Linked DNA regions of Oryctolagus cuniculus. The protein of the gene in region 1 purifies or fractionates together with the protein of each later gene. This does not show direct contact. Links are inferred from orthologs where the notes say so. Each region holds a gene or a part of one and is shown on either strand. Other genes may lie near its edges. The genes, in order: PSMA7, PSMG3 and POMP.

Region 1 (7,557 bases):
CTGTGGGCAGCTCCACTGTGATCCAGCTCTCTGCTGTGGCCTGGGAAAGCAGCAGCAGATGCCCAAGTCCTTGGGCTCCTGCACCGCGTGGCAGACCCGGAAGAAGCTCCTGGCTCCGGCCACTGCGACCATTCAGGGAGTGACCCAGCGGATGGAAGACCTCCCGCTTTCTGCCTCTAACTCTGCCTTTTGAATAAATCTTTAAAATAATAAGATACACCATCTATTAATAAAAAAGGTTAAAAAATGGGAGGTTTACTGGAGGGCACGCGACAGCAAGAGCACGGGGTGGAGACGCCTGCGCAGCGCCTTGCGGTTCGTCCACGATCAGAATTTAAAAATCGTTACAGCCAGGAGAGTTCTCACGACGCTTTCTTCTGTTTCTTCTTTTCGTTTTCTTCTTTCTCTTTTTCAATTTCAGCAACGTATTTCTCAATTTCTTCAGGGTTTAAGATCTAGCAAGGAAAGGGGCTTGTTACGGCCAACGCTTGGGTGAGGGAGGCTGGGTTCCTGCCACGTGTGTAGTGTGCCCAGGGGCATGCCCAGGCCAGGGGACCCTGGGGGAGCCCCCTCCCAGTGCTGAGACCACACAGGACAGAGGACTGTGGGACAGACCCTCTCGCAGTGCGAGGCCCGCCCCACAGCAGCCTGTCTGAGCCCGGCGCCCAGCCCTGACCCCGAGAAGCTCCGCAGGACACAGCTGGCATTACCTTGAGGGGCTGATCCCGCCTCATGACCGCGAGTTCGATGTTTTTGCCACCAGACTGAACCACCTTGAGGGGAGACGACAGGACATGAGATCCCTCGCCCCACAGAGGGCCCAGACAGCGCCCGTGAGTCCCTCATGGCGCCGCCCCTCCACTTAGCAACCCCCGCCTCGCCAGGCAGGTGTGGACAGAGCTGGACCCTCGCCCCGCCAGGCACTGCTGTCAGTGTGGTTAGCTCCCCCCCTCGCAGCTCAGGCCTGGAAGGCCAAGTTCGGGCCATGCGCAGAACACACTCCCCGCCGAGGGGTGGGGTCACATCCCACCTGCGCCACTCGTAGAAAGCAGGGGCCGCGCTGTGGCACGGCGGGCTAGGCCTCCCCCTGCAGTGCCGGCTCCCGTACGGGCTCCAGCTCCCATCCAGCTTCCTGCTGAGGGCCTGGGAGAGTGGAGGATGCCCGCGTCCTTGGGCCCCACACCACGTGGGAGACCTGGACAAGGCTCCTGGTTCCTGGCTTCCGGTCAGCTCCCCTCCAGCCACTGCGGCCGTTTAGGGAGTGGCCCAGGGGATGAAGATCGCTCACTGCCTCTCAAAGCTTAGCAAGGATATGCCCAGAGCTCCGTGGGACCGGGACACTGCCCTGCCCACGCCCACGCGGCCGGCGTCCACCGTGTTTCCCGGACCCCGAGCACTTACTTCCAGGAGGGCCTTGATCACCAGCTTGATGGCCAGGTCGTCGGTCTCGATGGCGTCATCGGTGTAGTTCTTCTCCAGGAACTCACGCACTGACTTGGCGCCCCGGCCGATGGCATTGGCCTGAAACGGATGTGCACCCGCGGTGGCCCAGGGGTCCAGCTGCCTGCTGCCCGTGTCCCCAGGGGGCCTGCTGTTTGCTCTGAGCAAGCTGTGGCAAGGGGCAGCCGCTCCAGGTGACCTGCGGAGCCCCGTGGGCAGCCATGCTGAGTGGCCAGCTGAGCCCCGTGGGCGGCCATGCCGAGTGGCCAGCTGAGCCCCGTGGGCGGCCATGCCGAGTGACCAGCTGAGCCCCGTGGGCAGCTTCCTTCTGCCGATTCTTAACTGATCCTAACGCCGCCCTGCACCCGCACCCTCACGGTCCTGCAGGACAATCTGGTGCTCACGGCCCCCTGGCTCCCACACAGCCACCGTCAAGGCAGCGTGTACATCTGGGACGCGGTGACCTCAAACGCTGACGTGAGGAGTGGACGCTGCCGAAGCCGCTGCACCCTGCGGGACTCACCTTCCAGGCGTGGTACGTGCCCGAGGGGTCAGTCTGGTAGAGTCTGGGGGTGCCATCGAAGTCAAAGCCCACGATGAGGGCAGAGATGCCGAATGGCCTGCGACCGTTGCTCTGTGTGTAGCGCTGGAGCGGCACAAACAGGTCGGGGCTCGGACCAGGGAGACCGCGCAGGACGCCCGCGAGCCGAGCCCCAGCCAGGGGCGCTCTGCAGGCACCGAGACCCCCCACGCCTCCGGCCCGTTCTGCACCTGCACGCCCAGGCCCAGGCACTGCGCAGCACGCACTGAGCGCCTGGGAACTTCCTGCCAGGCAGCCGTCCAGCTGGCCACACGCTGGCTCGGAAGACGAATGGCGTCGCGCCACAGTGGTTCTCGGCTCCCTCCCACCCGCCTGGCAACGCCGCTAAGGACAGAGCCGGGCCTCGCTCCTCCCTCCAGCGCGCGCTGAGAGCCAAGGGGAAGCGGTGGACAGCAGGACGCAGCTGACCCCGGGCGCCCACCTGCTTCAGACTGGCGATGTAGCGGGTGATGTACTCCACAGTGACCGGGTCCTCCACGGTCAGCCGGTGGCTCTGGCACTCTACCCGGGCCCGATTGATGACGATGCGCGCGTCCGCAGTGAGGCCTGCAAAGGAGCGGGAGACTCCGAGCAAGGACGGCGTTGACCCTGGCTACTCCGCAGCCTGACCTCTGGGCACGGTCCCCCCTCGCCCTTAGCGGCCAGAGCGGGACCAGCAGCCTCCGGGGCTCTTCTGAGAACCAGGTCAGGGAGCCGCCCCGCGCCCTGGGGGAGCGCAGGGGCCGAGTGCGTGCCTCCCCGTCACGGGGCAGGTGTACTGCTGCTGGCCACGGGCAGCCCTGTCTGCCCTCTGCATGCCACAGGTCAGGCGGGGCTCGTGTTTGGGGGACAGAAAAACCCCCAAGTTAACTCCTGAAGTCCGAATCCACTGACGTCTGGCAACAGCCCGGGGCCCCGCGTCCCTCTGCACAGCCAGGTTCCACCGGGACCCTGAGTGCGGCCCTGGCCCCGGTCGCGCACCTGCGAACGCCATGCAGACGTTGTCGTCCAACGCGCAGATCTTGCGCACGGTCCTTTCATCCTGCAGCTTGGCCACCGACTTCTTCTCCACGCCAAGGACGACGATGTCTCTCCCCCGGACGCCAACCTCCAATGAAAACCACGGCCCGCATGAGAAACTGCGGAGGCGGGGCGCCAGGAGCACACGGCAACACGGTCCTGGGGCGTGGCCGGCAGCCGCCACGCGGAGCTGTGCTCACCCGCGCAGCCCACAGCTCACAGCCCGACAGCCCGGGCCCGGCACTGCGGGTAGGGACCTGCCGTGTGGGCCGGAGTCTGAACAGGGGCGCCGGCCGCAGGCGAGCTGTGAAGCCACCTCCCGGCACGAGGGAGGGGCCGCCTGCTGTCAGCCGTCGCCGGACACCGCCCGCCAAGGCAACCACGGGTGGGATTCAAAATCCGATAAATCACGGCAGGCTAATTATGAAGTGGACAATTCCGTACGACCGCAAACGGCCCGGCAGAGACAGGTTCCCCACCCCTGCTCAGAGGGCTGGGCTGGCAAGGCTGCAGACCATGGACCCACGCAGGGTCCCGGCTCCGGCCTAGACTGGCACCCACTGTCGCGGGCCCAAGGGGCGTGAGCAGTATGAAGGCCTCCCCGTCTCCTAACCAGGCGTGGGAGCCGCTTCGGCATGGGACGCCGAGCCCCCATCAGAGTCGGGGCGCAGCTCCCACCCCCCTCCTGGGAGACCCGGACTAAGCTCCTGGCTGGTGGCGGTCAGGGGCCTCTGGGGAGTCAGCCGGCGGGTGGGGGCTCTGCCTCTCACACACACCGGAACCTCAGGAATCGGCCATCCCACACGTCAATCAAACAGCCTAGAAACCAACCGCAGCAATCGGTGGGCGCCGCGCGTGCCCGCCCTCCAGCACAGGGCCTTTCAGCCCCGCCGGCCAGTGCCGACCTGGGCAGCCGCCCCCGCCCACGGCATGCCAGCAGCAGTCTCGCTCCACACGGCAGTGCCCGCGGGCCGAGGGGCACTGGCCCGGTTTCCAGGGAGGTCCCGGGTGCCGACTCGGCCAGACGCTCCGGGAGCCGCAGCTGTGCGTCCGCCCGAGCGAGCGTGGGTGGGGAGGAGGTCAGAGTTGGACTTGGGACCCTAATTGCAGGCGGTCACACGAGCCAGGAAGTGGCGACCTCAGAATCCGCGTCGTGGCCCTGAACGTCTAGGATTCTAAGGGACAAAAACGTCGCGCGCCACGGCGCTGTCTGCGAGGGGGCAGACGCTGCCCAGGCACCGCACCCCCGGGGGCCTGGCCCGGGGCCCCCCAGCCTCCTGTGAGAAACACCACCCCTCCTCCACATGCGCGCGCGCTCCCGAGGTGCGCCCAGGTGCTGCTGGTGGGAACGAGACAGGCGCCTGAGCCCCGAGCTCAACGTGCCCACCTGGGCAGGCAGTGGCCTGGCATCACTCCGGGAGCCGCCAGGACAGTCCCCGTGCGTCCGGCTGGCCCGCCGCCGGCAGGTGCAGGGCACGGCCCGCTCCCGTACCGGAAAGCACGCACCCAGAGGCACCCCGGGCTACTGGCCTGGCCCCTCACCCGCGGCCTCCGACGCCATGCGCGCCCCAGCGCCGCCATCGGCCCCGCCCGGGCTGCGGCTCCCTTCTCTGCGCCACGGAGCCGGCGCCCCGCGGGTTCCCAGCGGCCCGCTGGCCACACGCACGGCCGAAGGGACGCCGCGCCGCCGTCCCGGGAGCAGCGGTCCGCAGCCCGCGCCCCCGGCCGAGCCCAGGCCCGCCGCCCGCCGCCGCGCCCGGGCCCCCGGCGGCGCCCCTGGCCCGGGCCCCCAGCGCGCGCAGGCCCCGGCGCGGCGGCTCACCGCGGTCGAGCCCTTCTTAACGGCCTCCTGCGCGTACTCCACTTGGAACAGGTGGCCGTCGGGCGAGAAGACGGTGATGGCGCGGTCGTAGCTCATGCCGGCGGCCGCGGCGCGGGCCCAGGGCCACCCTCTCCGCCGCTCTCAAAAGCGCACACTCACGGCCGGCGCGCGCGCCCTGCGCCGCGCCCACGCTGCGCGTCGGTGACGTCACGGCGTCGGGCGGACGTGCGGGCGCGCGGCGGGGCGGGGCGGGGCCGGGCCTAACCACGGGCGGCGGGGCGGGGGGGGCGGCGCGGGGCGCGGCGGAGCGGGCGCGGGGCGCCGGCCGGCCGCCGGGGGGCGCCACGCGAGGCGCGGCCTCGGAGGGGGCGGCGGCGGCGGGAGGCGGCGCGGCGGGCGCGGCGGCGCGCGCGGGGCGGCGGGGCGGGCGAGCCCACGGCGCGGCGTCCCCCGCGCCTCCCGCCCCCCGGCGACTGCGGAGAATGAGCTCTTCGGGCGGCCGAGCGCAGCCGGGGAATAAGCCCTGATGGTCACGGGCTGAGCCCCGCGTCGCCGCAATGTCCGTGGCCTTCGCGTCCGCCCGGCCGAGGGGCAAAGGGGAGGTCACGCAGCAGACCATTCAGAAGGTGCGTGGGGCCGGGGCGCGAGGCGCGGGCACGCGCGGGCTGGGGCGCGGGCAGCCGGCGGGCGCGGGGCGCGAACAAAGCCGGGGCGCAGCCGAGCGGCCCCGCGCCCGCCGTCCGCAGCGGCGCTCCCCGGGGGGCCCACGCCCACTCTGCCGGAGGCGCGCGGAGACCCGCGGGCGCGGGCGAGGGCGCGTGGCGTCGGCCGCCTGGGAGGAGAGGGCGGCGGCGGCGCCCGTGTCGGGGGTCCGGGTCCCGAGCGCCGCTGGCCACGCGCGAGGGAGTGCGGGCCGGCCTCGGGGACGCCCCTCGGCGAGGCGCGAGCCCCCAGGGCACAAAGGACGCGGCGCGGGCTTGGGCGCCCCGCAGCGCACGCGGGTGCCCCGCGCCCGGGAACCCGGCTGTGCTGTGCAGCCCCGCGCCTCGGCGTGAGTCGGGCCGCGCGGGTGCGGGGGAGCGGGCACGTTCCGTTCTCGGCTTCCCCGCCCGACAGATAAGGAAGGAAGCTGGCGTTCGCCGCGCCCCTCTGCACGCGCCCGGCGCCTCGCGCGGCTGCGTGTGTTCCTCTGCTGGACTCTGTGGGTTCGCCGGGAGGGGTGCGCCCGCCTCTGGGGACGTGGTCCTCGGGCTGTCACCAAGATGGAGACCGATCTTGTCGCCACGGGATTGTCACGAGTGGGGGGCCTTGGGCAGCGCCGAGCCGGGGATGGTGACGGACGGGAGCCTCCGAGGGTGTGGAGTCGCAGGTGCTGTTTGAGAGCCTTGCGAATCTTTTAATGTGCGCTTTCTCTTTGAGATTTATTTGACACACAGAGTTGGAGAGGTAGGGAGAGGTCTTCCATCCGCTGGTTCAGTCCCCAGATGGCCGAAACGGCCGGAGCTGCGCCCAAAGCCGGGAGCCTGGGGCTTTATCTGAGTCGGCTCCCCGGGTGCAGGGCCCAAGGACGTGGGCGTTGTTCCGTTGCTGTCCCAGCAGAGTTAGATCAGAAGTGCAGCAGCCAGGACTGGCACTGGCGCTCCTGTGGGACCCGGCACTGCAGGCCGGGGCTTAACCCGCGGCACCAGAGCACCCGCCGCCGGGCGGGGGAGATTCTCCATCCGGCGAGCCTGCGACAGCCAGGGCTGGGCCAGGTGGGCACCGGGAGCCTGCAGCTCCGTCCAGGCCTCCAAGCCCCGGGGCCACCCTTCACGGCCCCTCCACCGTGTGCCAGTAGCACACAGCTGACAGCAACCAGCCTGCTGAGCCACGACGCCTGGCCCGGGCTTTGCCCGTCTTCTCCGCGTCCTCCGTGGAATTAGCGTCCCCCGTGTAGCTGAGGAGGCGGAAGCACAGGAAAGCTGCGTGCCGTGGACGGTGGCTGCGGCACGGCTGTGGCTGCAGCGCCGCATCGCGCGGCCTTTGGCTCGGCAGAGCGTCAGGCACGAGCCCCGGGGGCACGTGTGGGCATTTCTGGGGGTGTCCTGATGCCCTGGCTTTTTTTTTTTTTAAAGGATTCATTCATTTATTTACTTATGTATTTATTTTAAAGGCAGACTTACAGAGAGGCAGAGAGAGAGAGAGAGTCTTCCATCCACTGGCTCACTCCCCAGGTGGCCACAGCTGGGCTGATCCAAAGCCAGGAGCTTCCTCCGGGTCTCCCACGCGGGTGCAGGGGCCCAAGCACTTGGGCCATCTTCCACTGCTTTTCCAGGCCGCAGCAGAGAGCTGGATCAGAAGTGGAGCAGCTGGGATTCAAACCTGCGCCCATGTGGGATGCCGGCACTGCAGGCGGCGGCTTTACCCGCTGTGCCACAGCGCCGGCCCCGCTCCCTGCTCCTTTGGAGCTAGCGGTCCCTGCTCCCACAGCCGCCGTTGGCTTCAGCGTGCGCCTGATCCTCTGTGCTTTGCACCCACCTCCCAGTGAAGCTGCCCAGACCCCGCATTGGCAGGGGAGTGAGCATTGCTGGCCGCAGACCTCGGAGCGGAGGGAGGGCGGACGGGCACCGGCCCTGGGAAGCAGGCCTCCACGTCGGGCTGTCCGTGCCCGCGAGCCGCGGGGCAGCCTGGCGTCTCGACGGTGCGTGTGTACCCC
Region 2 (6,979 bases), on another chromosome or scaffold:
CACCCTGACGCCCGCCTCCACACTACCCCGCCAGGCCACCCCCGGTCCCCCTGCAGACAGAGGACAGGGCCCCTGCTGTGGGCGCACAAGCCTCCTGCGGAGCGGACGGGGTGTGCACCTCCCGCCCCCAGCCAAGCAGCTGGCGCACTGTCTCGGGCAGCATGATGGATGGCCCTGACCCAGTGGCCGCCCCTCCGGGGGTGGGGCGGGCGGGCGCCGCCCTGGCTCTGGGACTCCCCTGGAGCCCGCCCGCAGGTGTGCAGTCAGCGTTGCCGCCTGGTGGCCATGATGCCCGCCTCACCTGGACAGGTGCAGCCCCTACAGCTGAGCGTCCCGTGGTGGCACTCAGGCTGGCCTCCCTGCCACCTGCCCTTCCTGGGCGGCCCCAGGCAGATCAGACCCGGGCAGAGGCTGCCTGGCAGGGGCCGGAACGGGCGGCGCTGGCTCTTGGCCGCCTGGTGTCCCCACGACGTGGGCGGCCCTTCTGCTTCCAGCTCAGGGCTGAGACAGGCGGGGGCGCAGGGCGGATCCCGGCCCCACCAGCCCACGCCTCCTGCAGCTGTGCCCTGCCCCTCCCCCAGCGCACAGCGAGCCTGGGAGGGCCGTCCAGGCGTCCTGGACCCTGGGGACGGGGTGCTGACCCGGCTGCCAGAGCCCCTTCTCAGGAGAAGCCGGGGGGTCTCCGGGAGCCTAGTCCAACAGCGGATCCTCCCTGCAGGGGCTCCCATGCCAGCCTGGCCCCCACGCCCTGCGCACACACTCACCTCCCTGGAGGCTCTCGGCCGCCCCACCTGTGGCAGGCCTTCAGCGGGGGGCTGTGGGGGGCCTGGGGGCCCAGCGCTCTGCTGCCCCTCCTCGCAGCTGCCAGGGAGGGGACTACCGCTCCCGGAGAAGCCCGGCCTCTCTCACACCCAGCAGCTCCTCCCAGCCCTGCCGGCCCGCCCGGCCCTACCTGCCTGGGTACAGCTGCTGCGCGGCCACACCCTGCACACCCCCTCCCGGGCTCCAGCACCGGCCTCCGTCTGCTTCTCGCACAGGGGTCAGGGATCCACAGGTGGACGTGGGCTGGCCCCTGCGGCGCTCCGGCTCTCGGCATGCGGTGAGGGCTCTGCCCACCCCAGCCTCGCCAGCCCCACCCACACCTGTCACAGGTCGCAGCCCTGGGCCCCCGGGCTCTCCTGGGTGGCCGTGGGCGTGTACCTGTGTCCTGCCGCGGGCGTCCGTTCCTCACCGACCCCTCTGCCTCTCGCTCCTGGCCCCATCCCCTCCACACCGTCATGTGTGCCACATGCGTGTGGGGCCGCAGCTCCTGGCCTCGCAGCCCAGTGGACCCCCAGGCGTCCTCGCCAACACCAGCAGACGGGCTCGTCCCGCCACCGCCGCCCCCAGGCCTCCCCAGCCCTGCTTCACCCAACAGCAGAGGCCGCCCTTCGGCAGCGTGGGCCGCGCTGCTCCCTGGCGCTGACCCACAGCACCGAGCCCTTCGTCGTCCGGGGCGATTTGTCACTTCCGGCTGGGGAGGGGTGTTGAGGACTAGGTCAAGCCGAGCACAGTCGACCCCCGAGCCATCTCGGCAGTACCCAGGCCCGTGCCCCACAGCGAGCAGGACACCGGGGGAACCCGGGGAGCCTGCAGCCCGGCGCCCCCCCCCCGTCCGAAACGGACGCATGCCCACATCTGCTGTGTGAACCACAGCTGGGGCGGCGAATCTGGGAGCTGCCGCCCCTCGCCTGCGGCCGGAGCCCGGACGACTGGGCCATTTCCTCTAACGCCCCATGGCTCTGGGCAGCGGGGAAGGACACTGGAGGGGGCACGGGAACCCGGCTGTCCCAGCACCAGTCACAGGGCCGCCCTTAGGCCCGCGGTCGGGGACCCGGGCAGACAGCACCAGCAGGGCCCGGCTCTCAGGGTGCTGCTGGTACAGGCGAGTGACTTCCCCGGCTCCACCGGGGCCTGGCAGACGGGAGCCGGGGCACGGGGACCACGGAGGAACAGAAACTGGGGAACAGTGGGCCCGCTCCGGCCCTCAGCTTCCTCACCTGTGAGACGCCCGGGGCGGGCGGAGCGGCCACACCTCAAGCCCAGGCCGCAGCCCCGGGCCCGTCCAAGCTCCTGACCCTGACCCCCGACCCCTATGTTAAAGGAAGCAGGCGCTGGGCCTCCCTTCCTGGCACGGCAGCACCCCCCACCCCACGCAGGGAGCAGGGGCAGAAGATGAGGCCGTGGAACTGTGACCTGGGAGTCCCGCCTGCCAGGGACCAGTCTGCCTCAGTGGCCCCTCCCCGCGGCACAGGCCGGGACGGGCCCCCCTCCCGACTCCTGCAGAGGGCGTCAGCGACACAGGTACCCCAGCAGCTGGGGGGGGCCCTAGAAGAGACCGTGGGCTCCCCTGAGGCAGGGGCCGCGGCCGGACAAAGATTCCTTCTGTCCCGTCTCGGGCACACGTTTGACTTCACCACACCTGCAGGTCTGGGGGCACCCGGCGATGGCCCCGCCCCCAGGAAGGGCATCCTGGGGGCTTCTGGAGTCCACCCGGACAGGGACGCTGAGCTTGGGGGTCACCTCCCGCCCTGCCACCGTCCCTCGTCAGGACCCTGAAGCACGTTGGGAAGTGTTTACTTTTAATTTAGAAAAATATCCTGTGGGCAGTCCGGCGCCAGCCCTCGCGCCTGGGCACCCGGCGGGAGGGGCCAGCGCCAGGCCGGCCCTGCGCCCGGGCCGGGTCCGCAGCCAGGGCAAGGGCCCGCCCTCCGCCCCGTTCAGCGTCCAAGCCACCGCAGCGCAGCCGGGGTCACCACACCTGGCAGAGCCGGATCAGCGCCTTCAGGGCCTGCAGCCCCGCCAAGCTCTTGTCTTTCACGGCCACGGCGAGCAGCACGGCCCTGTTCCCGGCCTCCTGAGACACGAACGCCACCAGGTTCTTCGCGAAGACGTGGATGAGAGGCTGGGGGAGGGGGAGAGCAGGCCGCTTGCTCCCCGCCCGCACGGAGGGACCCCAGCCCGCAGCAGCTCAGTGCGACCTCCCAGCGGCCCAGCTCCTCCGCGGGGGGCCCCGCCCCCGTCCTGAGGGACAGCTGCAGCCAGCCCGCCCTCACCTCGTCCTGCCCGAGGAGGACCCTCGTGGAGACCACGGGCCTGCTGAGGTCGCCGGCCACGCTGCTGGGCTCCAGGCTGACCAGCGTGCCCATCTTCCCGAACTGGGTCACGACCACCAGGATGTGGCTGGCGAAGGCGGTGCAGACCACCTGCGTGGGGACCCCGCACACCACGTCCGTCTTCTGTTTGGACACCACCATCGGCTTGTCCTCCATGGCTGGCTGGCTGGCTGGCGTCCGCTGGGGGTCGACTGGGAGAGACACAGTCGGCACCGGCGTGAGCAGCCGCCCCTCCCCCAGCCCCTCGGGCCCGCAGCGACCACCGACCCCGGGAAGCGGACCCGCAGTCGGCACCCGCGTGAGTAGCCGCCCCTCCCCCAGGCTCCCGGGCCCGCAGCGACCACCGACCCCGGGAAGCGGACCCGCAGTCGGCACCGGCATGAGCAGCCGCCCCTCCCCCAGTCCCCAGGCTCTCGGGCCCGCAGCGACCACCGACCCCGGGAAGCGGACCCGCAGTCGGCACCGGCGGCCCGGCGCGCCGGAAGTGGCTCGGCGGGAGGACGCGGGCCCGCCCCTAAGTCCCGCCCCCGCCGGAAGTGCAGCGCGCGGCTTCCGGCCCCAGGGGCCGGCGCGTGAGAGGTTCGGGGGTCCTGCGCGGGCCGGGCTACCGCGGGGCCGACGTTCTCGGGCCGACCCTGGGGCTGGGCGCGGAGCGGGCTCCCGGGCCGTCGCTGTGTCCCGGGCTGCGGGTGCGGGGCCCGCGTCCCCAGGAGGAGGGCGCGGGGCCGCCGCGGGGTGGGGTCTGTGATAGCAAAAGCGCACCCAGCCGGTGCTGCGATGCGGTGAGCGGGGCTCGCGGCGGCGTCTCCCGCTCCCAGGCCCGGGTAGGCGCCCTGGCTCTCCCAGATCTTCCGTCCGCTGGCCACTCCCCAGGTGTCCGCGACAGGCCAAAGCCAGGTGCTTCTCCCGGTCTCCCACGCGGGTGCAGGGCCCAAGCACTTGGGGCATCCACCACCACCCTCCCGGGCCACAGCAGAGAGCTGGACTGGAATAGGGGCAGCCGGGACTCGAACCGGCGCCCACCTGGGATGCCAGTGCTGCAGGCGGCGGCCCCTAGGAGGCCGGTCCCTGCAGGGGAAGCGGGTGCCCAGGCCCCCTAGGCAGGGTCGTGTCCCTGGGAAGCCCGAGTCTGTGTTGTTTGTAAGTTGACCCACCTGGCCACCGCCCGCGCCGGGGGAAACCTTGCAGGGGCCGGCTCGCTGGGATTCACCTGTTGCAGGTGTCTCGCTGCTGAACCCACTCCACACCGGTACAGGAGGGAAGGCGGGGGCCAGGCGGAAAGCCCTGATGAGCAGGTCCTTGTCTGGCTCAGGGTGGAGCCTGGCGGAAGCCGGGGCCCGAGTCCTTCTGTCCAGGGAGAGGACTCCTGGTGGCCTGGGTGATGGTGGGGTGGGGGAGGGGCCTGCCCGCCATTGACCGGCCTCCAGGGTGAGGGGTAATTAGAAAAAGACCCTCAGGTGAGCTCACTCAGAATGGGACCCAGATAGGAGTAGGGCCAGTATTGGGGTGAGAGAGTTTGGGGAGTCACCCTGAACAGTGTAGGATGGGGCCCCCCTGCAGTGCCGGCATCCCCTGTGGGCGCCGGTTCCATCAGCTCCCTGCTGTGGCCGGGGGAAGCGGAGGAAGATGGCCCAAGTCCCTGGGCCCTGCACCCACGTGGGAGACCCGGAGCGCCCAGGCTCCTGGCTCCAGATCGGTGCAGCTCTGGCCACTGCGGCCATCTGGGGAGTGACCCAGCAGATAGAAGGCCTCTGTCTCTCCCTCTCACTGTTTGTAACTCTACCTCGCAAATAAATAAAGCTTCCCCCAAAAAGTTTAAAAAAATATGAAAATATCTGGAACTTGTCTCATCTTCAAGAAACCCTAGTAGAGGCCGGCGCCGCGGCTCACTAGGCTAATCCTCCACCTAGCGGCGCCGGCACACCGGGTTCTAGTCCCGGTCGGGTCGCCGGATTCTGTCCCGGTTGCCCCTCTTCCAGGCCAGCTCTCTGCTGTGGCCAGGGAGTGCAGTGGAGGATGGCCCAAGTGCGTGGGCCCTGCACCCCATGGGAGACCAGGAGAAGCACCTGGCTCCTGGCTTCGGATCAGCGCGATGGGCCGGCCGCAGCGGCCATTGGAGGGTGAACCGACGGAAAAGGAAGACCTTTCTCTCTGTCTCTCTCACTGTCCACTCTGCTTGTCAAAAAACAAACAAAACAAAACAAACCCTAGTAGCAATCGCAGTTGGGGGAGGGGAGGAGAGGGCATCACCTAGCACCCTTCCCACACGTGTGGCCGCCCGGGGCTGGTTCCCAGGGCTGTGCGGGCGCCTGGGGCTGGGTGGGCACCCGGGGCTGTGTGGGTGCCCGGGGCTGGTTCCTGGGGCTGGGTGGGCACCTGGGGCTGGTTCCTGGGGGCTGTGTGGGTTCCTGGGGCTATGTGGATGCCCAGGGCTGGTTCCTGGGGCTGTGTGGGTGCCCGGGGCTGGTTCCTGGGGCTGGGTGGGCGCCTGTGGCTGGTTCCTGGGGGCTGTGTGGACGCCCAGGGCTGATTCCTGGGGCTGTGTGGTGCCCGGGGCTGGTTCCTGGAGCTGAGTGGGCACCCGGGGCTGTGTGGGTGCCCGGGGCTGGTTCCTGGAGCTGGGTGGGCACCCGGGGCTGTGTGGGTGCCCGGGGCTGGTTCCTGGAGCTGAGTGGGCACCCGGGGCTGTGTCGGCACCCGGGGCTGGTTCCTGGAGCTGGGTGGGCACCCGGGGCTGTGTGGGTGCCCGGGGCTGGTTCCTGGAGCTGAGTGGGCACCCGGGGCTGTGTGGGCGCCCGGGGCTGGTTCCTGGAGCTGGGTGGGCACCCGGGGCTGTGTGGGCGCCCGGGGCTGGTTCCTGGAGCTGAGTGGGCACCCGGGGCTGTGTGGGTGCCCGGGGCTGGTTCCTGGGGCTGTGCGGGCGCCTGTGGCTGGCTCTGGGGGCTGTATGGGTTCCTGGGGCTGTGCGGGCGCCCAGGGCTGGTTCCCGGGGCTGTGCGTGTTCCCGGGGCTGTGCGGGCGTCCCTGTCTTCCCCCAGAGCTGTGTGTCCCGGGCACACCAGCTTCCCTGGGCACCGTGGGCTCGGCTCACTCAGCCTCGGCAGCCCTGCCCACGCTCCCCCCTGGCTTGGGCTCCCTCTTGTACCCCAGCGCTGCACCCCCACACGGCCCCTCGTCTCTCCATGGGCCCTGCGGTGGTGGGGACCCGGGTGACGGACGGAACCTGGACACGGCAGGGACTCGGGGTGTGGCAGGTCCTCACGGAGGGTTATTGCAGTCAGAGCCTCTGTGAGTTTGGAGCAACTCCGGTTTTTAGCTTGAAGATGGAGATAGCCATCGGGCTGCCTCCCGGGGCTTGGAGGGTCCCCTGGGGGCTGCCCTGGGGGCTTGGGGGGGTCCCCTGGGGGCCGCAGCTTGGGCGGCTGAGCTTGCTGCAGACAGCAGGGAGCTCTGTGGGACAACATATTGGAGCTCCTGGGTTCAAGTCCCAGCTCCGGCTCTGACCAGCTTCCTCTAGCGCAGGTCCCCGGAGGCAGCAGGGGTGGCCCGGATGGCCCAGCCTTGGCAGGCATTTGGGGAGTGCGTGGGAGCTGTCTGTCTGCCGTCCCGGCCTCTCCAGGGAAGAAGAAAGCCTATCATTAACCAGTGTTCTCCAGTCCCAGAGTGGACACAGCATGTGGGGTCAGCCACCAGGACTCAGGCGGTGCTGGTGGCTCCAGGCCTGGGCAGCCACGACACCCCGGGCTCAGCTGGAGGCTGCTCTCAGCTGTTCTGACCACCAGGCCCGCCAAGGGTCTGCCTGGGAACTGGTCTCACGGACACAG
Region 3 (7,614 bases), on another chromosome or scaffold:
CTATTTCTCCACCTTCCTCAGAGGTGATCAGCATGGTTTTAAAATCATACGTGCTCATATTCATATGCATGTAAATCTCCTCTGAGCCTGAAACCTGAATGCAATTAAAGCAAACTAAGAGCTCCTTGATTTTCTTATCTGAACCACAACTGCATAATTACATCATGTATTCTACTCTTTCTTATAGAAAAGTATTTCCTTTTGCTAAAAAGGCAAAAACAAAACAAAACAAAGACCCCAACAATAAAAACAACAGAAAACAGCCTTGACAATATTTCAGTTACCTGGGTCACATTTTGCCATCTTTCTGTAGTGATCTACTCCTTCTTCTTGCCCTAAACATACTCTAAAACATTTAATTTGCCTTTGGAACATCTACATTTATTATCTCCTATGAGTGGGAGTGGCTTCTGAGTACACACCTGGTAAATACTGGCCTTAAACTGTTCCAACGTCCCCTCCTCTACAAAGCCCTCCAAAGGCCCAACGCATGGGTGGCTGCCCCATTCCTGGCCCTCTTCAGCACATTATGAAGTCTCTTCTCAACTGCTTGTCTTCCCTATTTTTTTTTTTTTTTTTTTTTGACAGGCAGAGTGGACAGTGAGAGAGAGAGACAGAGAGAAAGGTCTTCCTTTGCCGTTGGTTCACCCTCCAATGGCCGCCGTGGCCGGCGCACCGCGCTGATCCGATGGCAGGAGCCAGGAGCCAGGTGCTTTTCCTGGTCTCCCAAGCACCTGGGCCATCCTCCACTGCACTCCCTGGCCACAGCAGAGAGCTGGCCTGGAAGAGGGGCAACCGGGACAGAATCCGGCGCCCCAACCGGGACTAGAACCCGGTGTGCCGGCGCCGCTAGGCAGAGGATTAGCCTAGTGAGCCGCGGCGCCGGCCTGTCTTCCCTACTAAAATGTATATTCCATAAGGAAGGGATTATGTCACATCTGTGCACCTACTGTGCCTGGTGGATATATTCCTTACTAACTTTGAGAGGCACAACCTGAGAAAGAGTTCAAGGCTAGAGATACGGCTTTGGAGATCAACAGTAAAAGTATCAAGGGAAAAATGCATAAGAAAACACAAGTATCAGATGAGAAAATTATTCTGAGAGGAATTGAGAGGTGGACCAATCTTTAGAGATGTACATAAAAAAGATAGGAAAGGATGCATAGAAAGGGACTTTTAGTAAAACAGTATAATAATTTGAAAGCCTACCCTATAAGGAGGTGGAAAATAAGACCTCATATTCTTCACAGTCAAAGCTTTAGCAGCAGAATTGTTTTACTAAAATGAAACCATCCAAGTATCAATAAAAATAGGCAACATACTTACATTTTTTTCTGATAATTCAAGAGGGTGACTGGGCAAAAGTTCATTTTTCACACAAGAAAAGCTGGAAAAAAAAAAAAAAAGAGACAGTAAATATCACAGTACTAAGATCAAAACCGTACACATCAAGGGTCTGACCAGAACGCCAGGATGCGAGCCAGCTACTCGGGTGGGATGAAACTGCTCTGTACTGCAGCTGTGGAGACAGTTCCAGGAATTCACACGACTACACACCAAACTATCCTATCCTGGAACGACCAGCTTCTTCCACCGCAGGAAACAGCCCGGACTCTTTCCTAGCCCATGCTGTTACTGTTTACCACGTCCCAGATCACACACACACTTACGGTACAGCAAAGTATTTAAAGAATATTATAAAGTATGTTTCACAGACGCATTTCACTCTAACAAAGCTGAAGTCACAATTTCTCCACATACCCTTTCCGAAGAAGATCGTGACTTTCAAAGGGCCCACTCGCTGAAAGTTCAGTGACTGGAATACTGTCCTTCAGCTGAGATCCAAGTCCTCTGGCATTCTACAACACAAATAAAAAAAACACTATTATTAAACACAAAACAGATACTAAGCACACATACACTGAACACTGACAGAAAAAAAAAAAAAAACACTGTTTAAGCAGTAGAAGGAAAAGATAAGGTCTCTGCCCTCAAAGAGCCTATAGGCAAATAATTACAGGCTTTGAGCATTACTGCAGAGGGGCATGTGTGGTGTAAGAACCAAATTTCGGGGTGGAGAGGACTCCTGGACTGCCAAACTGAAAGGCATTCCAAGAAAAGAAATAACAATATGCATAAAAGTATGAAAATATTAGTTCTCCCTCAGCATCCATGGGAGATTGTTTCCAGGACTCCTTTCAACTACCAAGCTCTACAGATGCTCAAGTCTCTAATATAAAAAGGTGCACTATTTCCAAGTAACCTATCCATATCCTCCCCTAACCTTTAAAACCATCTCAAGATTACTTATAATACTTAATACAATGTAAATAGTTGTTATATAACATCGTTTAGGAAATAATGACAAAGGAAAAAAAAAGTCTGTACATATTCTGTACTGTACAGACATAATTTTTTTCCCCTAATATTTCTGACCCAGCATTGGCTGAATTTGAGGATGCAGAACCTGGGGACATGGAGGGTCAACTGTGTAAGAGAACAAGCTACAAGTAGTCTGGAATGACTGGCCAAATATCTGGATGAATGGGGCAGAAGTAAGGGCTGAGAATATGAAAAAACGGTAAGCCTCAGATGCACAGAAATTTGGGTCTTATGCAATTGAGTCTCAGAAGGGTTACGTTATGATCATGTTTGCTTTCACTGGCAACAATGCTCCCTTAGGTTGGGATGTTTAACAAAGAAGGAAAAGGTTGAGGACTGAATCCTGGGGAATATCATTCCTACGGACAAAGAAAGAGCCAAAGAAATGGGATTAACAACAGCCAGAATAGCTAGAAAAGAGAGGTCATAGAAGCAAAGAAAAAGGGGGACTTTCAGGAAGTCTTTAGCTTCTATAAGAGGCAAGCACTAACTATAAAAAATGAATTTATCTAATCAGGATAGGATAAAACAAAATAAAATCTGATTTGCAGGGAATTACACTGATGCATAATCAACTACACTTCTGCACTATAAAACTTGCAATCACCAAATACTTACTGGGCACCTTTTATGTATTAAGTAACCTGCTAGGTGCTGAGAACATGTCTACTTCCCAAGGGCTTAATCTAATAAAAACAAGGTTAAATAAAATGTAGTGTGACACAGGTAAAACACAGGATGCTGACCTTAAATCACGACTTTTCAAGTACAATAACCCTGCAATTTTGCGGAAAAACGTGACATAGCTACAGGCAGTTGGTTATTGAGTCTGATATACTATGCTGGGCGAGCTAAGAAGCCAACATCTTTATTCATTTCATGACTCACACGTATTTTATTTGGCCAGATATTTTATCTGGTCCAGACTCTCACAAATGGAGGATTCCAACAGCAGTCTAGGAGGTCCTGCTATCTTACACTCACTCATTTTCCAGGTCTGCGCAGCAAGGCTTCCTAAAACACAGCGCCCCTTCCACTAACAACTACTACAGAACTTTTCATTCATTCACCAATGTCTGCAGGATAAAGCCCAGAATCCTTAGCCCAGAATCGAAGGACTTGAACAACAGGTTCCAACTCCCCCCCTACAAGCAGTCATGGTGGATTAGGAAAAGACCCTGGCAAACTAGGAGTAACTCTGATTCCCACCCCTCTCCCCCCCACCTTGCATACTCTCATAGATGTTTGTGGAGTAAAACCGGGTTATACAAATGCGCTCTACAATTGTGGTTATCAACCAGCTACAAGGGCCGGGGATGTGGGCGGGGGCCGTGGCTTGCAGACCCCGGGCTAGCGGAGGTTTTCCCATCAGGGACGGTGTAGTCTGCGGCGCCACCCCCACGGAACGTTCCTGCTCCGCGTACCCACCACGGGGAAGGGCCCTGGGCATGCTGGGAAGGCGCAAACTAAGCGAAAAGTCGGACAGGGAGAAGGGACAGGATAAAGCCCAATCGCTGCTTCCAACACTAGCGTCAGACCCGGGCCCGGCGACGGCCACCATCCGCCCCAACCCCGTGACTCGACAGATTCTCATGGCTTCCGAGGCCGGCCTCATCCCCACGCTACCGCCGCCACTACCGCGGGACAGGCTGAGGGGAGCGATCCGTTGCTGCCTGGCCATTCTCCCGGGGGCGCCTGGCCCTCGGGCTGCCCAGGCACTCACTCACCATCTTCAACCCGCTCAGCGACGAGCCTCAGCCCCGTGACGGTCAGCCTGCCCCAGCGCTCACTTCCGTTTCCGGGGGCCGCCCCGCTACATCCGCCGGAAGTGCGTCCGTCCGGGCGAGGAAGGAAGAAGGGCGCGGGGTGCGGGGAGGGAGTCGCGCGGGGCCTAGGCTCCCACGCTTGCTGTCCCGAGGGAGCAAGGGCCAAGGGCGCAGTAGGGTGTGGGCTGGGAGGAGGGCGGGTTCGGGACGAGACGTGCGGCGGGGAGGGAAGACGCGGACTCCGCTTTATTAATAGCCATTGCCGTTTGCACAGGGTAAATGCGGTCTAGGTGGGTTGAGTGATTTGCCTGAGGTCGTTCATCTAGAGTGCCGGAAGCAGAATACAAGATTTTTATTTATTTTTAAACATATATCGAAGGCCTGTGTTCAGAACACTCTGATGAGGCCAAAGAATCAGGCTGATGTCCCTGGGCTAGAGGAAGGGGCCGCGGGGACGGGGCGGGGGGGGGGGAGTGGTGAAATGCAATCTTGATTGACATATTGGGCTCCCACAATTACGTATCAACACAACGATCAGTGTTTTACAGGAATTACCCCCCTCAGCCTTTTCAGTACCTTGAGGCAGGTACCACTCTTAAACCCAGTTGTGTAGGCGAGGAAACCTAGAGAGAAAGCGGTTGAAGAAATACACCCAGAGGCCCAGAGCATAATGTCATAGTAGCACCGCTATACTGCATTGTCTTCCAGCTACAGTATAAGATCTTTGCTTGACTGTCATGTAATGGAGACAATTTAAGGAATCCTTGTGCCGGGGACCCAAAGGATAAGACAGGAGTCATTTGGGGCAGTAGGAAGAACTTCACCTGAAGGTGTGCCTGGGGGAAAACTGAACTGAGGGAGAAGGCCTGGCTAGCTGATGTTCAGAGAGTAAAGTAGATGGGGCCTACATTTTTTATGCCGTCCAGATTAAAGGTGAAACCATTGTCTTAAAAGCCATTGAAGGAGATTGGAGGGGGAGGTGAAAGAGATTTGTTATTACTCTGTGCACAGGCATGGGCATTACTGGGATAATCTAGCTGTGTTCCCTACTGCTGTTTTTATAACTTGTGCTCCTCTGGAATATTCATATTTTCCTTGAGATTTGAGCTTGAATGTTTCATTTGTATCTTTTCCCTTTCAGTCAGTCCCACCTCAGGGGAAGTTTTTAAAACTAGAACTCTTTTTTTTTTTTTAACAAAGACTCGTGTTTGTTTATTGATCACCATTCAATGAATATTTGTGGAGCATTTGCTGGGTACTAGATTCTGGAACTATATAGAAGAAACGGACATTTTCCTGGGGAGATAGACATGTGAACAGATATTTACGGTATATGGTAAATGCTTGATAGAGAAAGGAATTGAGCTAGCAAGTATTTTGGAACAGAGAAAAAAGGTATTCAAGGAAGAGGAAGCATGGGAAGGTGGGGATTTCTGAGCAGTGGAAAACTCCATGTTGGAGTCCTGGGTGAGCAGCAGGAATAAGAAGAGATGAGATTGGTTGGGGCCGAAACAAGGGGTCTTACTTGATGTGCTGAGGTTTGGGATGTTTCCGTGAGGGCAATGGGACCTAGTGGAGATCTTTTTACAAAAGTTAAGCCACATTCACAGCATCTGGCAAGAACCCTTCGCCCTTGTTCTAGCTTGTTCCCCATTGGTGACCTTTGGCTGCCTCCTGTATGGGCCCTCTTCCTGTATTTCATCTTGTCCTAGGGCTGAAATCTTAGTGCTCTCTGAGAACCTTGAATTACACTTGCCCTTGCTGCTTTTGTTCTTTGTCTGAGACCAAACCCTACCCACAGGCTGTTTTATCTTCACAGCAGTGTCCTGTACACAGGGGGCAGGCACCCAGGCAGGTTTTAAAATCTAATAGGGAGTTTTTACAATTTGGTAGAAGCTAGAAGGTTTTGAAAAAGACATGGAGAAGTAGGAAAGTGTCTCAGACCTCAGGAATGTCTCAGGAGCCACAAAATGTATTATATCTAGATAAAGGAATGACCAGTGATGTCAAGAGTTATGGGAAAAACAATGGAATTTGGCAAACTGGAGATCATTGTACGACCTGTTGAGGGATGTAAGTAAAATGGTGGGAGAAGAAACCAGATTGCTAGGAACGGAGAACGATGTTAGCCCATTATGTCCCACCATCCTATATATAGGACACCTACACAAACTTAAGCAATAAAGCTACAAGTTATGCTGATTTTGAAATAAATATTAAATCACCGAAATATCTGCAGAATTGAAACATGTGTACTGTGTTTTTCTTCTATATCAATACCTAGGATAAAATTTATAAAAGTCACAGTAAGAGAATAATAATAAAATGGAACAATTATAGTAATATACTATTATAAAAGTTATATGAGTGTGGCCCCTCAGACAACTTTCTGTACCATAGATCTTAGCGTCTTCAGCATGTGATTTTTTTTCCTTGTTAAATAAAAAATATTCACCTTTTCACTCAAAGAAAGCATTTTATGACTTCTGTTTGGTTGTCTGCATTGTCAGCATCATTGCTCCTGTGTTTTGGGGCTGTTATTAAGTAAAATAAGGGTTATTTGAACACAGGCACTGTGGTGCTTCAACAGTCAATCTGATAACCAGGATGGTTACTAAGTGACAGGCAAGTAACATGTGCAACATGGACAAAGTGATAGATCATGCCCCCAGGAGCACAAGATTTCATGACACAGAAAAGTGCACCAAAGTTCCGTTGTTTTCTGCAGCAATTCTCTCTCTCTCTCTTTTTTTTTTTTTTTGACAGAAAAGTCTTCCTTTTTCCATTGGTTCACCGCCCCCCCCCCCAAGTGGTCGCTACGGCCGGCGCACTGCGCCGATCCAAAGCCAGGAGGCAGGTGCTTCTCTTGGTCTCCCATGCGGGTGCAGGGCCCAAGGACCTGGGCCATCCTCCACTCCCTTCCCGGGCCACAGCAGAGAGCTGGACTGGAAGAGGAGCAACCAGGACAGAATCTGGTGCCCCAACCGGGACTAGAACTCGGGGTGCCGGCGCTGCAGGCAGAGGATTAGCCTAGTCGGCCGCAGCGCTGGCCTGCAGCAATTCTCAGAACGTAGGGGCAGATCAAGAGGGATCAGAAAGCATATATATGGTGACAAGGAAGCAGGACAGGTCTTCCAGGTGGCCATAGGGGTCCCTGGGTCAGATAGACAAAGAAAGTAACCAGAAAGGAGTGCAGTGACCCCTCCGCCTGCAACCCTTTCTCCCTAGGCTTCTAACGTCCTCTTTATTGGAAGCCTCTCTGATGCTTTAGTCTCTAGACTACAGGCTCCTGGAGGCTGAGCAGTGTGATCTATCTACCTTCGAATACCCACGCTCCCACACACATATTTGGTGAAAGCCTGTTGTTGAACATCGTCAAAAACTCCCTTTCAGACTGCGACTTATAATGGGACACAAGTGAAAGGCAGGTGCACGAATGTGGGTTGAGCAGTGCTGATGTTAACTA

Evidence for each region.
Region 2: the proteins of PSMA7 (region 1) and PSMG3 purify together in Homo sapiens (affinity purification with mass spectrometry; 3 studies listed by BioGRID and IntAct, with this or other methods). This does not show direct contact. The link is inferred for Oryctolagus cuniculus from reciprocal best matches to the Homo sapiens genes PSMA7 and PSMG3.
Region 3: the proteins of PSMA7 (region 1) and POMP purify together in Homo sapiens (co-immunoprecipitation; 4 studies listed by BioGRID and IntAct, with this or other methods). This does not show direct contact. The link is inferred for Oryctolagus cuniculus from reciprocal best matches to the Homo sapiens genes PSMA7 and POMP.

What each region holds. Positions count from the first base shown.
Region 1 is NC_091442.1:1,219,404-1,226,960, reverse strand, and holds PSMA7 (proteasome subunit alpha type-7), read right to left. Parts: upstream 5,075-7,557; 5' UTR 4,959-5,074; coding exon 4,863-4,958; intron 3,129-4,862; coding exon 3,002-3,128; intron 2,588-3,001; coding exon 2,463-2,587; intron 2,087-2,462; coding exon 1,964-2,086; intron 1,522-1,963; coding exon 1,402-1,521; coding exon of another isoform or gene 1,375-1,401; intron 774-1,374; coding exon 643-773; intron 503-642; coding exon 442-502; coding exon of another isoform or gene 363-441; 3' UTR 227-362; downstream 1-226. Other genes in the region: SS18L1 (calcium-responsive transactivator), read left to right, coding at 5,420-5,488.
Region 2 is NC_091450.1:36,700,843-36,707,821, forward strand, and holds PSMG3 (proteasome assembly chaperone 3), read right to left. Parts: upstream 3,665-6,979; 5' UTR 3,537-3,664; coding exon 3,518-3,536; exon of another isoform or gene 3,423-3,517; intron 3,347-3,422; coding exon 3,096-3,346; intron 2,945-3,095; coding exon 2,792-2,944; 3' UTR 2,601-2,791; downstream 1-2,600. Other genes in the region: TMEM184A (transmembrane protein 184A), read right to left, coding at 765-1,669. UniProt on the Homo sapiens protein: Chaperone protein which promotes assembly of the 20S proteasome. May cooperate with PSMG1-PSMG2 heterodimers to orchestrate the correct assembly of proteasomes.
Region 3 is NC_091440.1:85,852,018-85,859,631, forward strand, and holds the start of POMP (proteasome maturation protein), read right to left. Parts: upstream 4,304-7,614; 5' UTR 4,113-4,303; coding exon 4,110-4,112; intron 1,860-4,109; coding exon 1,762-1,859; intron 1,388-1,761; coding exon 1,327-1,387; intron 1-1,326. UniProt on the Homo sapiens protein: Molecular chaperone essential for the assembly of standard proteasomes and immunoproteasomes. Degraded after completion of proteasome maturation. Mediates the association of 20S preproteasome with the endoplasmic reticulum.